2 linked regions of the Drosophila melanogaster genome follow. Changing the gene in region 2 together with the main gene of any one other region gives a genetic interaction. Each region holds a gene or a part of one and is shown on either strand. Other genes may lie near its edges.

Region 1 (7,674 bases), on a different chromosome or scaffold from region 2:
GACCAACTGCAGCCAGATGGAGACGGAGGCGCAGCTGTTGATCTTTCGCTTTCTGGTTGACAATCTGGGAAACTTTGCCGTCGAAGACTGTCTGGATTTCTTTCACAGCTTTGTAGAGCGACATCGCTGTCTGGAAAGCTCAGAGTTCCGGAACACGATGCTGGGCAAGATGCCAACGATTATCAATCACACGGCCAAGCACTTTCAAAAGGTTCTAAAGGCGGACATCGGAGTGGGTGGCCATGCATTGGCTCAGAATATCAAGCGATTCTTTTCACATCTTCAGCATCTGATTGAGCGGGACATCCACAGCGAGGTTTATCAACCCAAGATCTTTGCCCTGAAGTTGCTGGAAATCCTAAATAGGTCGCTATATGCAGAAGAAGTCGCAAAAAATGCAAAAATGTGCAGTCCTCAGCAGAATCAGCGCATGGGCATATTTCTCCTGGAGCACGGAGTCTTTCGTCCAAAGGAAATGGCGCAACAGCTCTTCGAAACCCTCAACAATCCACAAGGTTTCGATGATGCTTTGGACCTAACGGTCTCCCTGTTGATTCAGATGGGCCATGTGGACAGTGAAAAGTGCGTGGAGCGGTGCTTCGAACTGTGCCACACGTCTGATATGGACCAATGCTCCTTGGTTTCCCTCTACGCACAGTTGGCGGTTACAAAAGAGCAAGCTGGATCAAAGATATTTGATGAGTGCCTGAAAAGGCTTACCGGTAAATTAGATCCCTTCTTCGAAGATCCTTTGCAGACCGCCAAGAGCGGAGGACATCTCTTTGGCTATCTTTGCGCCTTGGACGAGGTGGTCAAGGCTGGCTTGGCAGTGGAGACGCCTCTGGAGGATTTGTTGCCATTGCTAGAGAGAATTCTCAGCGGCATTCTCAAGTTCCTCAATGTGGCCAACGCCCGGCGACAGGAAGAGGCAGCCACAGCAGCCAGTTTCCAGGACATGGACGAGAGTCTCCAGCTGCTGGTCAGCGAAAGCTCCTTCAAGTGTGATGGGGAGGAAGAGGCTTGTCGAAAGTACTTACTGATGAGCTTCTGGTTAACGTTGAAGGTGCGTAGATATATTTCTTAACTCTTGATAAACTTATCATTTGTTTATCCTTCTGCAGGGCTGTTGCGATCTGGCCACCAGCATTGGGTGTTACCAATTGCAAACGTCTGCCAAAACAGTTAACACCGAGACTCTGCGTCGTTGCCTCAATATTAATGTTTCCGTTTTGACGCTTTGCCGGCACAAAGGAGCCATAGAGGCGGCCGGCTTGAGCATTGGCAGACTTACCCGTGCCATCACCAGTAGCTTAGACAGCTGCGATTCGGGATTCCAAATGCTTCACGACTGCCTAGAGCGAGAGCTGCTGACTGAAAGCCGTCAAGTGAGCACCACACGACGTGGTGCCGGCTTCGCCATAATGTTCCTTCACGTGCTGAAGAACGATAATCCACGACAGCGGCTGCTGCTCCATCGCGCTGTGCAGCAGATTCTTAAGAGGCTAAATGAAAACCAAACCGCGGAGACTGTTTGTCTCGATAGCAATCACGATCGCTGGGAGGCATTGGTACTGCATTACCTTTGCGTTCTTGTGCGCGACACAGAACTGAGGCCAGCTATGAGCAAGTACTACAATGAGATTCTGCTGGTGGCCATGGAGCACATCACCAACCCCGAATGGACCATTTCGAATGCGGCACTTCAACTCTTTGGCGCCAATCTGGGCAAGCTGGTCGGCCAGCGCCAAGCTACAGAGTTTGACACACGACCCGCCTGGGAACCCAGTGAGCTGGACTACGACGAATTGGGCTGCTTGCTGCCCAAGGCTTGCGAGCACATGCTGAGGTGCTGTGATCGCCAGGAGGTCACGTCATCCATCATACTCTTTCTGGCCTTCTTGTCCAAGGTCGAGCACTTGCGTACGTCGGGCGGGAAAGAGCCAAATCCCCTGCTCATTCGCTTCCGCCGACTCAGTTGGCATTTGTTGCGGCACAAATGTGATCAGGTCCGCCAACTGGCGGCCACCTGCTTTGTGCGGTCGCACGAATTCCGCTGCGATCTGCCGGCGGCGCTGCTGGCCAGCGCCAAGTTGGCCGCGAATCTGGAGGAGGAGAACTTCTACGAGGGACTGATTTACACGCTGACATCGGGCGTGCTGAAACTAAAGCACGAAGCACGTCATGTGTGGAGCGCGGGACGTCTGGAGGGATTCCTTGAAGCGCTGCTCACCGCGCTGGATGTCACTGAGCGAGTTCGTCGCTTCAAGCCGTACACACGGAATGTGCTGCTGGAACTGCTAGGCCAGCTGGGTAGTGCGGATAAAGCGGCTCTCGTCGAGTCTCTCGGCTAGCATTAGCAAATCTAGTTTTATCTAATCTTTAATCATTAAGCCAAAAAGTTATCTTTCCTTGTCAACGCTTTTACAACTATTCAAATGACGCATTTAATGTTTGTACGCAGTAAACGTAACGAAAGTATCTACCAAACAGGGATTTCTAAAATAACCAATGAGAATATGAACTAACCGCGCGATCAGCTGAAACCCTCGCTCGACTCCTGCTCCATGGCCTGAAGTTCCTGTTTTTCCATAGCCTCCTGCGCCATTTGCTGCAAGGTACGACTGAGTATGTTGCGCAGGATGTGCGGCTTGCAGTGCTCCTCCAGCCAGGGGATAATGCCGGTGGTCAGCTGCTTAAAGTTCTCCATGGGTATGTGTTGAAATGTCTCGAACATTTCCTCCATAATGGCCTGGAACTACGGAGGAGGGTGGTGGGTGGCGATTCTAGAGGTTATAATAGAGGTAAGCGCTCCATACTTACCACTTGAAACTTGGCCTCATCGGTGAGTCGTGCCTCCTCCGGCCCTGGATTCGCCTGCTGATGCTGTAGCATGTTCTCATAGCCGTTCTTAATGATCCGTAACGCTGTTACCTCCTTTTGTAGCGCCGATCCCTCGTCCTCCTGCTTGAGTTTCTGCTGGTTAAGGTAGCCAATGTATTCGATGGACTTCTGCAGGATCAGAGCCTTGCTGAGCTTGTAGCCGGAGGAGTCGTTGGGCTGGCAGCGCGGCACCAGCTCCTGCAGACTGTCGTAGCCCTTCTTAATGGCATCGCGCCGCTTCTGCTCCGCCTGGGTGTGCGCCTCCCTTCTCCGCTCCTTGTAACTCAGCGTGGAATTGGCGGCCGCGGAATGGCGCGCATCGCCGCTATCGTCGTCGTCGTCTGCGATACAGAACCGAAACATGAGTACAATGTAATAAAATGCTGCTGATAGCGAGTAATTCAATGCCACTGCTTTATCAGCTGCCCCCGCCCCGCACTCTTGACCGATCAGCGTGACCGATCTTGACCAGCGTTCGCCCACCTGAATTGTGCGCCGAGGAGTTCGGAGTGTGCGTGCTGCCCGCACTGCTGCACCGCGAGTAGTGCTTGCTGGTGTGGTCCTGGTCGTGCTCCATGCCGAAAACGTCTTCCTTGGTGGCCAACGCGTTGTTATTATCGCTCATCGTCAACTGCGACGTTTTGGAATTCCCAAAACAAAAACACTAGCAGCGGTGTGACTGTCGCAAGGTAGCGCGAAAAGCCTTCGGTATCTGATGGTCACATTCAACATTGTGCGATAGTTTTAAGGAATTTTTAAAACAGTTATCAGGTACCAGGCTAACAGGTACTTTAATTATGATGTTATTCAACCAACTATGCTTGTTATAATTTGCATCCCTAATAACATAGTTTTTAGAAACTGCATACAATTAATTTTTGTAGCAGAGTGTAAGATGTGGTACGTTCAATCAACGAATGATAGTCATATCGATATTTCGGCCACCTCTACCGGTCCGGATGATGACTTTTACGTTTTTTTCTTGTTGAACTTTGCCGTCGTGTCGCTTTCTTCGGGGTTATTGCTTAAATTTAGCGGGTTTTTGGGCTGTAATTTGTGATCGGCGGACGCACAAGGAATCAATCATGGGCCTGCTATATGCGCTGCGCGTGAGGATCATGAACTTCATGATTTTCTTCCTCCTCATCATCCTAATGCCCGGTCTGCCGCCGCGCACCACCTTCCCCTTCAAGGACTATATGTAAGTGCCGCCCGTTTCAATTGACGTAATTCCCGTGTTAATCCTTGGAGAAATCGCCACTTCGTACAGTGTGACCCCGCCCAAAGACCTGAAGGGTGCGCTGGAATCGAACTTTCACCTGGAGGGAGCGGAGCGACTGCTGGAGGGGCGGGTCTACGGCCCGGAGTGCCTGATAGCCCGCAACAACGAGATCTACACCGGCATCCACGGCGGTGAGGTCATCAAGCTAACGTCCAACCATGTCACGCATGTCACCAAGATCGGCCAGCCCTGCGGTGCGTATTTTCGAGTCCTATAAAGGGAATTTCATTTTATAATAGTAATCCCCTTGCAGAGGACATCTACGAGGAGTCCCGGTGCGGCCGTCCGCTGGGACTGGCCTTTGATACGCAGGGCAACAACCTCATCATCGCCGACGCCTACTACGGCCTGTGGCAGGTGGACCTGGGCACCAATAAGAAGACTCTGCTGGTCTCGCCCGCCCAGGAGCTTGCCGGCAAGTCCATCAACCGCCCTGCCAAGATTTTCAACGGCGTGACCGTGAGCAAAGAGGGCGACGTCTACTGGACGGACTCCTCGTCGGACTTCACCATCGAAGACCTCGTCTTTGCCAGCTTTGCTAACCCCTCCGGCCGGTGAGTTCATCGCAAATTATAGCGACACTGTCTAATATTGCTAGAATTCAAAGTGATAGCTATTCGGAATAGGGCTACAGTGGGACCCCATTACAATGTATTTCTTTATAAAACGTGTTTTGTGACCCATTTAAGATTATTTCAAATGTTTGTAGCGGAGGAATCGAGGGAGTCACTTAATTAATCTCAATTAAGAGTCCACGCTTACTGAAGTTAGCTTAATTCTTATAATTAAGGGACAAGTTACAGAAGTATGACTGTAAGACGAACGCAAACCGGTTTCTCGATCTGGTCTTATGGTTACTCTAACGGCCTTTGCTTTCTTCTACGTTCCAGTCTCTTCAAATACAATCGCTCGAAGAATGTTAGCGAGGTGCTGCTGGACGAACTGGCTTTCGCCAATGGATTGGCCCTCAGTCCCAACGAGGACTTCATCGTGGTAGCCGAAACCGGAGCGATGCGTCTGACAAAGTATCACCTGAAGGGAGCGAAGGCCGGTCAGAGCGAGGTGTTCGTCGACGGACTGCCCGGTTTGCCCGATAACCTGACACCCGACGCCGAGGGCATCTGGGTGCCATTGGTCCAGAGCGCGGATAGCGAGCATCCCAACGGCTTCACCCTGTTCACTCGCTTCCCCAGCGTGCGCCTGTTCCTGGCCCGCATGCTGGCTTTGTTCGAGCTGCCCTTCCGCTACTTGAACAGCGTATATCCGAACAAGTTCTCGCAGCGATTCGTTCACTTCGTGGGACACATGGAGAGCATCACTGTGCTGGCGCCCAAGCGAACGACTGTCGTGCGTGTGGACTGGAACGGCAACATTGTGGGCTCGCTGCATGGCTTCGACAAGTCGGCCGCCACGGTATCACACGTCCTGGAGTTCCAGGACTTCTTGTTCTTGGGCTCCCCCACCAATCAGTACCTGGCGCGTGTCAAGTCGCCAAAGGCCAAGCAGCCCACGCTGAAGGTGCGCAATGTTCGCGTCGAGGGCGAGGGCTTGGAGGCGTCCATTGGTGTGCCACCCAGCAAAGCCACTCCTAAACCCAAGGCGGCTCCTAGCACCACCACTCCGAAACCCACTACCACAACGACAACTACCACGCCGAAACCCACTACCAAGACGACAACTACTACAACCACGCCAAAGCCCACTACCACAACGACAACCAAGAAGCCAACGACCACTACCACCACTACGACAACCACGCCGAAGCCAACAACTACTAAGCCGCCGACAGCTAAGCCATCTACGACTACAACAACCACCACTACTCCTAAGCCAACTACTACTACTACTCCTACTACTCCTACTCCAGAGCCTTCTAAACCGAAGGTCAAGCGCACAGTGCCTGAGAAACCCGCGCCCGTTGAGGAGGATATCCCCTCGGACACACAGCCACCCAAGAAGGAGAAGCTCAAGGTCATCAACAAGCAAGGCGTCAATGTGGAGCTTTAAGATCGCAGACGCATCAGCTTCCTCCTGAGTTAATCGGGCATATTCCCGGACGCGAGATTAGTTTCTTCACGCAGTCAAAACCTATTAGGATTATTATCTTTTTCCCTCCAACATCTCAACCACTTTTGGGGAATTTTCAAAGGTTTCTTATTTATCATGCCCCAACTCAGGCTGTCGAAACCAGTTAATTTTAGTCGAAAGGTAGCTAAATTCAGACTAGCCGAGGGCCTTGCTCATATGATCCTCGACGGGCAACGCTTTATATGTTGTAGACTAACATATAATTCTGTTTTGCTTAGGCACTATAAACATTCCATTCCTTTTTACAACCGGAAGTGCATTCCATGTAGCTAAGTTAATAGTAAACAATGCCCCAAAATTGTTAAACTCGAGCAACTTTTGATTTTGTACTGATTTTTTTTCTTATTTTCATTAAAAATAAAGGTATTTTGTAAAAATAGACGTAAGCCTAATGAGGTTGGTTGTCTTAGACTAGCATTAAATTAAGTTTAGCCGTAAGATATCACTAATTTGTGGACACCGATTGACTGATCTTGGCTCGGCCAGCCGGCTCCTTGGGATCCGTCCAGGCCCAATCGGCATAGTGGACGCAACGGCCGAGTTCCTCGGAGTAGAGCTGCGACTGCGGACAGCGCTGGAGACGAGCCCGTGTGCCCTGCTTATCGCACACCCAGTAGGCCGTGGGATCCCAGTAATTCCGGAACATGCGGTTCACCTCATCTAGACCCTGGCAGCTGGGCTCGCCATTGTGCTCATGCGGCCGGCGCTTCTGAATGGGCAGATGTGCTGATGCGGTAGGCATTTTGTTCAAGTGATTGGGTTCGGTTTTTTGGGGAATTCTGAAATCAAAACCGGAACTGGGCATTAGTCCACGATGTCAGAGCGTGATCGTCGCATAAATTTACTATAATTCTTGGCAAAGGCATTTGCCCCACATATTTTACTGAATTAAACTCTCCCTTTTCGCTTACCTTGTGCTATTTCTTGGTCGTTAGTTATTTTTAACGGCTAGCAGCCTGTTGCTCGCTGTTGCTGAGTTATTTCACTTCTGATTTGTCATACCGAATCATTTCCCGCTTAAATACCATTTCGTCGGACGACGTCGACGCCGCCGTCCGCTGCTTTGGTCATAGATAGCGTTGCTAGACTCTGGTTCGAGGGCCGATTCCCGATCCGATTCCAACGCTTTTTCGTTGTCGGGCAACGAGCACTTTGTATCTATGTATGAGGTCCAAGAATTTGCACTGAATCGCCTTGATCTTGAGGCGTCCCAAAGGGTGGGTGCGGGTCGGTCTCTGGGTGGCTAAGACCGCCAGGCCACCCGATGCCCGGTCGTGGTCACGTGTCGTCGTCGTGGCCGGGGGAATACTCCCAGCGCAGACTGTCGGTATGCCGTAAATTTCGCACATAAAACGAGCGCAAACATATTTGGAGAAAAAATTAGGTAACATGCTCGCAGGTTGAAACCGCTTAGTGCACTGAAA
Region 2 (8,637 bases):
TGTTCGTTTGTCCGGATCTATTTGAAAGATCATGGAACCAAACGGCCAGCGGCCAGCAGCCTTGGGCTGAGATTCCTCCGCACTTCCGTTTCACACTTCGCACTCAAAATACCGAGATATCGGCGGGTATGGGTATATCGCCTGTTTTCGTCGGTCTCTGCTCCGTCTCTATTTCCCTCGGCCTCTTTGTCCATTAGCATATCCATAAACGTATATGAGGTATGAGTTCGCGATCATGCCCATTGGCGGATGAGTGCTGCTTCGGTCGGTCGGGACGTGGAAATGGCAATTATTCCGGTTACATGCCACAATTCCGTCCGCCGCCGTCTAATTGCATTCAAAGTACAACCACTTGACGGAGTCAAAGTTCCGCCGCGGGCTCATTAATGCATATCGGAACGGAATACAACTAGACTTTAGCATCTCTGCTCCACTATCTTTGGTTCTTATCACGCATGTACTACGGCGGCGTGAAAAGCTCGAGGGCGTGTGGCTCAAAGGTCAAAGCTTGCATTGCGTGTGAAAGTCGGTGGGATCGGATTGAGATCTCCGCCTTTCGTTGGCCCCAATGCAACAATAGCCATGAAAAGTTATTATGCCCCCCGAGCCGAGATCGTATGTATGTACGTACATAGTTAGTTCGCTGACTGCCCTGCCGCAATGGCTTTGTAATGGCCCCCCAGTCATAAAAGCAAACAGAGATACGGTGGCCAGCGGATTGGGAAATCACTTCGCATAAAAGCTCGGTGTGGGGACTTAATGCCTGAAATCTTAATCCTACCTCCAAGCCGCATGGAAAATAATGTACATATATTAAAATGTTAAAATATTGCCCATTACTACAAATGATAAAAATATATGTACCTTCCAAGTGGATATTAAAATCAAACTATGCGATTAAAAGAAGTCATCTAAAGCCAAAGAAGAGATAAATGTCAAATTATACAAAACTCCGCATCGAGTTAAATAAATTAAAAAAAAAATTAAATCACAAATCAATGAAATTCAAAACAAAAGCGGAATAGAATGAAGATGTGAAGATTTCAAATAACTTCCACGGCGATTTTAATTCCAGTCCCGCTTGCTGGAAGTTAACCCACTTCCACTTTCCAGATCCTCCCAACCAATGTAATCAGCGAAATATATGACACAATCTCCACTCAAGCGGCAGTTTTAACGCAATATGTTGGCCAAGACGAGGAGCCTTTGCAAAAAATTAACTGACAGCAAGCGAATAAAGTGCCGAAATAAAAGTAAACTCACCGAAAGCTGACATTCCTGGTCTTTCCACTGGAAAAGGCAAGGCGGGCGCGTTGCAACGTCTGGTCGTTGTTGTTGTTTTTGTTGTTTTCGTTAGCCATCCCAATTGGAGTTTCCAGTCCGACCAACGTTGTTGTAGATGTTGTAGTTGTTGTCATGGTTGTTCGTAGGAGGCAGTTGCGATTTCACATACGCAATAGCAATAGCAACATGCAACACGCATACAGACGGGAGGATAACGACGAAGCGGCGAAAAATTCAAATAAAAATCAAATCAAAATCAAACTAAAATAAGGCGCTTAATGTTCGTTACGTGCACGGAGTTCGTCTGTGTGTGTTTCGTTCATACATTTAACAACATATGTGTCAGTTAAAGTTAATAATCGTTACACATCTCTTTCTCTCGCTCGCAATAAATTGCCTAATTGGACACTCACATCGTCAAAATTGGCCATTCTGTCGGACTCGGATTCGGATTGGAGCTGCTCGGGTTGTTGTTGTTGACTTTCCGGTTGTGATGTGAAGATCCCAATTGGACTTTCGGTTTCTGGTTCTGGTTCTGCGTTTCAGGAGAAAGGGAAAGGGGTCGTGAGCGGGAGCGGGTGGCACGGCAAATGTAAACAACACTGACACTCTTTCACTTTCGTTCGTTACGCATCTACCGTTGTTTCGGTTGTGCGTCTTCTGTTTGTTGTTAAAATTATGTGTACTTTTCGGTACCGTCAGCAGGAAGAAAAAAGATATAAACGCATGCAGTTGACGCGCTTTGACAACCGTTCACCGCGACAACAAAACTTGTATATTTCAAGATTTGGATCGGATCTGAATGCGAAACTTGCTGCCAGTGTGACCGCGCTGGGCTTCGAATTTGTAGCTAAAAAGTGCCAAAGGGCGCCTAATATAAGACGAGCTACAGTCGTAAATTTCGACAATAATAAAGTTTAAAGTGGTTCTTTAAAAATTATCGGGATGTAACTACAGTCTATTGGCGTAAACATTTAAGTTTTCGTTTTATTTGTAAAACAATAGTAAGTGTTAAGTTAATCTTGGTTCATGTCACTGCTAATCCAGTGTTTGCTAATGTCGTTCAGTCTGTAACTTTCCATAGCGGTAAACTTAAACTATGCAAACACGTAACAGTTTTTCAAACACTTATTTATTTTGGCACAACTGCAAAAGAGTAATACTCGTTTCCAACGAAAACAACTGGTTGTTCACTAAATGGCGCAACCTAATTGCACCATAAATAAGCATATCCAGTCGGTGCACAGAAAACAGCTGGCTTACCCAAAAAAAACACTCTGAATTCGCTATTTTAATCTCTCCGAGAACAGAACACACCTTTTCAACGCAAATGCCGGTCGACACTGAGTGGATTGTTACTCCACGAACCGAACATATACTCGACTAGGGCCGCTGGCATTCATTATCAGAACTGAATGCATGTGTATTTCGTTCAGAATGTACATACATAAGCTATATACCAACTGATATGGACACTGGATTTCGGATGGGGAAAGTCAAGCGTGTCGCTCCGATAACGAATCAGTATGTTTTGGACTCGGCTAACACAAGTTCAGAGCATTCTGAACGTTATTCCAGCCTAATCTGCTAATATCAATGGTGTTAATATTAGTTGGACATAGTACACTCCCCACTTTAAACCGAACGCATTTGTTTATATATCGCACTTCTATACTTTCCGATAATAGTGCTTGGTAACGGTGACTCCGATTAAACAAATGACATATAACAATGAGTGCGATTAAACAATATATGACGGAGTCACCATGAGTGAAACTAAATGTGTTTGAGGATTTTAAGTTATTTTTAGCTAAATAATGATGTTACATGCGTGTCCTATAAAAGCTTTCACGCTTATTAAGATTATTAAGATTATTGGACTTTACAATAATGCATATAATTTAAAAACCCCTTAGTTTTTGATCAAGTTTTAAGCTGTACAGGAAAAACTAGATTTCACCCTCTGAGTACTGCTTCTATTTTTATACACATTGTATGCAAAGCTTTTGTGGCATACGAACTTTTTGACTCACCAATATTAATGACAGTAGTTATCGGCCGATCTCCTGCTGCTTTAACGGAAACTCTATAAAATCGGGCATTTTGATAAGTAAGACTTTCATTAGCTTACCATTTATTGGAGCTCCATTGGCCTCCGGATGAGGTTTAATCGCGTTGTCAAACATTATCGTAGTGTTTTTTTGTTTGGTTATAAATTCGCTATTGGGGACACTTTTAAATAGCACAAAAGCTGTAGGGATTCCCAGGAAACGAATGTGGTAAATGTGGTTAACTACTAACTATTAAGTGGCAAATGTCCGAACAAGAAGATTGCACACTTAACTAAGCAAACCAAATGAAAATCAATGTCAATTTGTCAAGTTGTCCTCGTGGGAAAATCAATTAAATAACCAGCTGGCGAAATCCTTCACAAATTCCACATTGACTTACACAAGCTTTTTGGCCCGCCAATTGGTTAAGGTGAACTAAAGATTGAAATATTGTCTAAACAAGAAATATTACAATAGATGATCAATATTTCTAGTATTCATATTAGATTGTAATATTTTTTCCGCCATTGTTTATGGCACAACTTTGCACTTCCTTACGAATAATAGTTTACAACAATACTTGTAAAAATATGGATTTCTATAAGTCGAATTTTTAATAGAATTTCCAAGTTTATAGGGATCAAATGTAAAAGAAATTCTGGGAAACTACAATAGCAAGCAAGTTGGATACTGCGTATTTATTAGTAGAATTCTTCGCGCTCAGTAATGGATATCTAATAGTCGTGACACTCGACAATTTCTTTATTAATTTGAAAGTGCAGCTGTGTTTGATCCCTTTTCATAAATATTTGTACATTTTGACTTGGGGATAAACATAATAAAATAATTGCAAATGATCAAACAAATCGTATACAATTCAAGCTTACGATTTGAAGTCTTTAAAAGCTGAAACAACAATATATCAATGAAAAAACACCCAAATGCACCAGCACTCCATAATCAGTAATCAGTTTCAAGTTCAACCATGCAAATATGGCTGTTGGCCAACACACTCGATGATTCAATGCGAATTGAATTGATTAGCACAGGGGATCACGTTTCTGTATGACAACATATTCACATGGCGTTTATCATGTAACCGACTTCGACTGGATTTGGTTTTCGGTTTTCCGTCTCCAGTTTCACTTTCATTCCAGCATCTGGGCCGGCTAATTGTCAACGCAGTTGGCTAATAAGCGCGAGTGTAGATTAAATAACCACTATCCGGTACTTTGGTTTAAATCCAAGCAAATCTGCGCGCGATAACGCCCGAAAGCCAACTGATTTGAGTGGCGGAGCACTGCCAAGTGGCCACTGGCCGTTGACCACCGCCGCGTGTATCTGGAGGCGGAAAGCCGGACCGATGCACTCGACCACACTTCGGCTGGAGCGGCTTACAGTGAATCGGGTCGCTTAATTACACATGGACACTATGTGCTGGTCTAATTTGTATGCGTAGCCCGCCACTCGAAAAAAAAAAATTAGCCAGCAAACAAGTCGCTGTATTCAAAAGCGTATTGAACACGCACCGGGCACTCGGATTCGAATTCGAATTAGGATTGAATCTCGGATTCACCTGACGCCGCCGCGCTCGAAACACGTCTAAGCCCGGCTAAGCGCTCCAAGTTGGCCCGTACCCGCAGTCGTCGTCGCTTTTCCAGTTTCAGTTTTCTTCGCGTTCTTGATTATCTCGAATCTCGAATCTTAAATCTCAAATCTCGACTTTTGATTTGAATTTCTTAATGGGGGTCTTCGGCGCTAATCACAGGTCGCAGATGCACACGCATTCCCGGCCCAAAGTCACCAGATAATGGTGATGGATGCCAGCCACCTCTCTACTAATCCGAATGACGATACAGTCCGGCTTCTGTGCAACGAACACGCCGTTTAAAAGGCGTTTGTCACATTGCAAAAGAGTGGCACTAATTGGAAAAACTGGAACCACCAACTGCCAATTTACAAACTGGGCGCCTGCGAAAATCTGTTTTTCCTCAAATTAAATCCACATTTTTGATAGTTGCTCATGGCAACTTATTGGGTTCGTCAACTAGACTCGTTTTTTTTTATCATGAAGTAAAGTTGTAACAAATCTGTGCTACAGCAAAAAAAAAACTCTTATAAAAGTGTTACATTCTTTAAATGCTATTTAGAAGCAAAGTTAAGGGCACAAGATATAACTACTGACCAGAAATTATGACTGTAATGAAGGTAGTTTTAATTTGAGATTTGACATCAGTTCTATTTAGGCAGTGCAGCCTGTACCCGATGCCCTAGCCAATTAGGAATAGGGCGAGCCAGGCTAAAGATCGTCCCGTAAACAATAAACTATTTGCCTTTCAGGTGTTTGTTATTTCGAGCAGCTGTTTTGCGGCAGAAGCCAGCAAGTGAAGTGACGGCTAATAAATAACCGGTTATTGATAAGTATTCACTTGCATCGAATCACAGCGGACAGCTTCGCACCCTGACCATGAGATCCGGACAAAAACCTCAGTGCCAGACGTCGTCTGCTTGAGATCGAGAGCTGAGATCCATTAAACAGATCGCGTTTAGTCCAGTAAACCTGCCAATTGGCATATCAGTCCGGATTCTAATGCCGTAATTACCTGTTCTCGCCACTGAAATTAGCTGGTCGCTACCAGCTGGCGGTGGACTTTGGCTCGCTTTGCCCAACTTTACGGCCAGCAAACAATTGTAAAAGTGATTTCGAATGGTGCTCTTTGCACACAAAGCTGCCGCAATTGTAGTCACGCAATTGATGCGATTCCAAATAGTATTCCAACTTTTCAGTTGCCTCGCCAAGTCTCATTATGCCCAGCGGCGTACTTAGCGATTCCTTTTGTCATTCTAATGGCCGCTCGGCACTTTTTCGACAATGCCCGCAACCCATTTGCGTCGCATGTATGTGGGCTCTATGGAGATGGAAGCGTGGCCTTGACCCAGGTTCCGGGTCCGCGTGACGGCATCACCCATTAAACGAGGCAGCTAAAGATGCTGGCATTTGAGAAGTAAATATCTATGGGCTAAAGCCTTATCTTTGTGTCAGAAAGTAACTAAGATTGAAATTAATCATTCTATCAACCAATTCGAAGGTATCATAATGTTTCAATTACGTTTGAAACCCATAATTGACTTAAGATTGGCTTTAATAACCAGATATGTAGAATGACTTGAAGTAATTGCTCCGAATCAATTTCAATCACAATCATGATTACATATCGAGGTATTCAATCAATCCATTCTAAGATTCATTGAACGATCGTATGCAATCCACATCTTCGCTCAGTTTTTCGAGCTCCAACCGGGAGTACGTTACTTACCTTAGATTGGCTTCAAAACCCAGAAATATATTGATTGTTCCCATTCAATTTCAATTCAATTCAACCAATCCATTGTAAGCATTCATATGGAACCATTAGCTAGTTGAACTCTTATGCACCCGTGAGATACAGTAGCCTATCTTTAGGCTTGCGCTGTGGAACTCAAGTGTTCAAGTGAGATAGAAAAAAACGCAGAGCAGTGTCCACAATTATTAGTGTATAATTTATTATTAAATATGTTATAAAATTTGTTTATCGTATAAAATATACTCTTACTCTTGTCTCGTCAAGTCCACACCTATGTACGCTTGTATATATATATATATATATATTCGGGTATATAAATATGTATGTGTATGCATGTATATAGAAAAGTGCCAGACCACGCAGCCACCAGGTGGTGGCGCACCCGTGGTCCGCGCTTGTTTCTGACCTCCTCCTCGCTTTCCACTACTACACAATTACAATTTTAAACTGCAACTCGTTATTGAATCCGTCGCTTGATTTGGTAGATTTCCTAGACTTCGATTTATCGCCTTACTCGGACTTAATAGCTGCTTACTGGTGGGTGTACCTAGTACCCGCACGCCCCTACATATGAATGTATGTACGCTGATGCTGAATGCTGAATACTGCTGAATGCAGATTGCAGATTGCAGAATGCAGAATGCTGAGTGGGTGAAAATGCTTGAGATGCTTTTTGGGTGTGCCAAACGCGATCTCGCCTATCTATCGAGAGCAAATCAAACTAGATGAGATTTAGATTAGCGGGCTAGGAGGGATTTTGGTAATTTGTAATTTGGTAATCATTTGCCCTAGATATATATGTAGATGTATAGTTTTGCGGGCTAGTCTAGGCTAGTCTATGTTAAGTAACTATGTATGTATGTATGTACTGCGACTATGCTTATATGTGTGGTTAGTATGCTGGCTATTTCGCTGAGTCCAGTCCTCCGCTCGAATATGAATATGAATATGAATATGAATATATGAGTACATGCTGTACTTGCTATGCGAAACCAGTAGCTGGCCTATCAATATTTCAACTGCTCCGTGTATGGTTTAACTTAAGCGGTGTGTGTCCGTGTGTGTCCTCCGATCTGGCTTATAATTTAAATTTGTACTCGTTTTGTACTCAATTGCTCCATAATTATTACATATGTTATGTACGTGTATTTATGTATGTATGTATGTATGCTTATGCGTTGCGTATGCGTATGTTTATGTTCATAATTTCCAAATGAGAAATGCTTTCAAATTTAGTTATAATCGTGGGTGTTGTTCTCTTAGAAACTTAATGGCTAAATGATCGCGTCAAAATATATATGTGTATGTATGCATAGTACGTAATTTTAAAGATCTTTTTAGTTGGTAGTGAAATCGTTTCTCTGCTCTGGCCGAGAATTGCTTTTTTTTTTTTTTTTTTTTTTTTTTTGTTTTTTGCATTTGTCGTTTTAAAAGTATTACTCAAAATTGTATTTTGATAAGAGTTCATTCCGTTTGCTTTAGCATCGTCGATCGATTTGTTGTTATGTTTGTTATAAAACGTGGCTTAGTAAATAGTTACATATGTGGGTCTTGCAACGCTCGCTCCTCCTTACATCCTCCTTATATCTTTGAAAAATCTTTGAAATCATCTCACGATGATTTTAGTCATTTAGTCAGGCTGGCGGCTCGCCGACTCGCTTTATCTTAGTCTAAGTAATACGAAAAAAATGTGAATACCTGATTTAAGTTTTGGATTCGTTTAGTGTTCTTTTTATTACATTAGTAGCTACGTGTATATGAGCATTTTGTTTGCTTTAGAATTAATCGTAGGTGTATTTGGGCAACGTGTTTTTGGAATATTCGGTTTATTTGAAAAAATACCTGCTTGCATTTAATTAAGTATTTTTGGTATGTATTTTGTAAAAGTTATTTAACTATCTGTCGTTTGAATGTGTGTATTTGAGTGTAGTGGTTATGTAAGTTATTGGTTTCTCCTT

What was found.
Region 1: of Aldh-III (region 2) and bigmax, changing one suppresses a phenotype caused by changing the other (phenotypic suppression), as found in Drosophila melanogaster (one study listed by BioGRID).

Annotation. Positions count from the first base shown.
Region 1 is NT_033777.3:27,284,965-27,292,638, forward strand, and holds bigmax (bigmax), read right to left. Parts: upstream 3,563-7,674; 5' UTR 3,506-3,562; coding exon 3,364-3,505; intron 3,222-3,363; coding exon 2,821-3,221; intron 2,756-2,820; coding exon 2,534-2,755; 3' UTR 2,402-2,533; downstream 1-2,401. Other genes in the region: CG3368 (uncharacterized protein), read left to right, coding at 1-1,063, 1,122-2,351; Hmu (hemomucin), read left to right, coding at 3,966-4,081, 4,151-4,356, 4,416-4,716, 5,053-6,169; CG3348 (uncharacterized protein), read right to left, coding at 6,696-6,992.
Region 2 is NT_033778.4:7,472,025-7,480,661, forward strand, and holds the start of Aldh-III (aldehyde dehydrogenase type III), read right to left. Parts: upstream 5,139-8,637; 5' UTR 4,223-5,138; intron 3,536-4,222; 5' UTR 3,471-3,535; coding exon 3,416-3,470; intron 3,357-3,415; coding exon 3,318-3,356; intron 2,636-3,317; exon of another isoform or gene 2,548-2,635; intron 2,107-2,547; exon of another isoform or gene 1,820-2,106; coding exon 1,698-1,819; intron 1,323-1,697; coding exon 1,264-1,322; intron 1-1,263.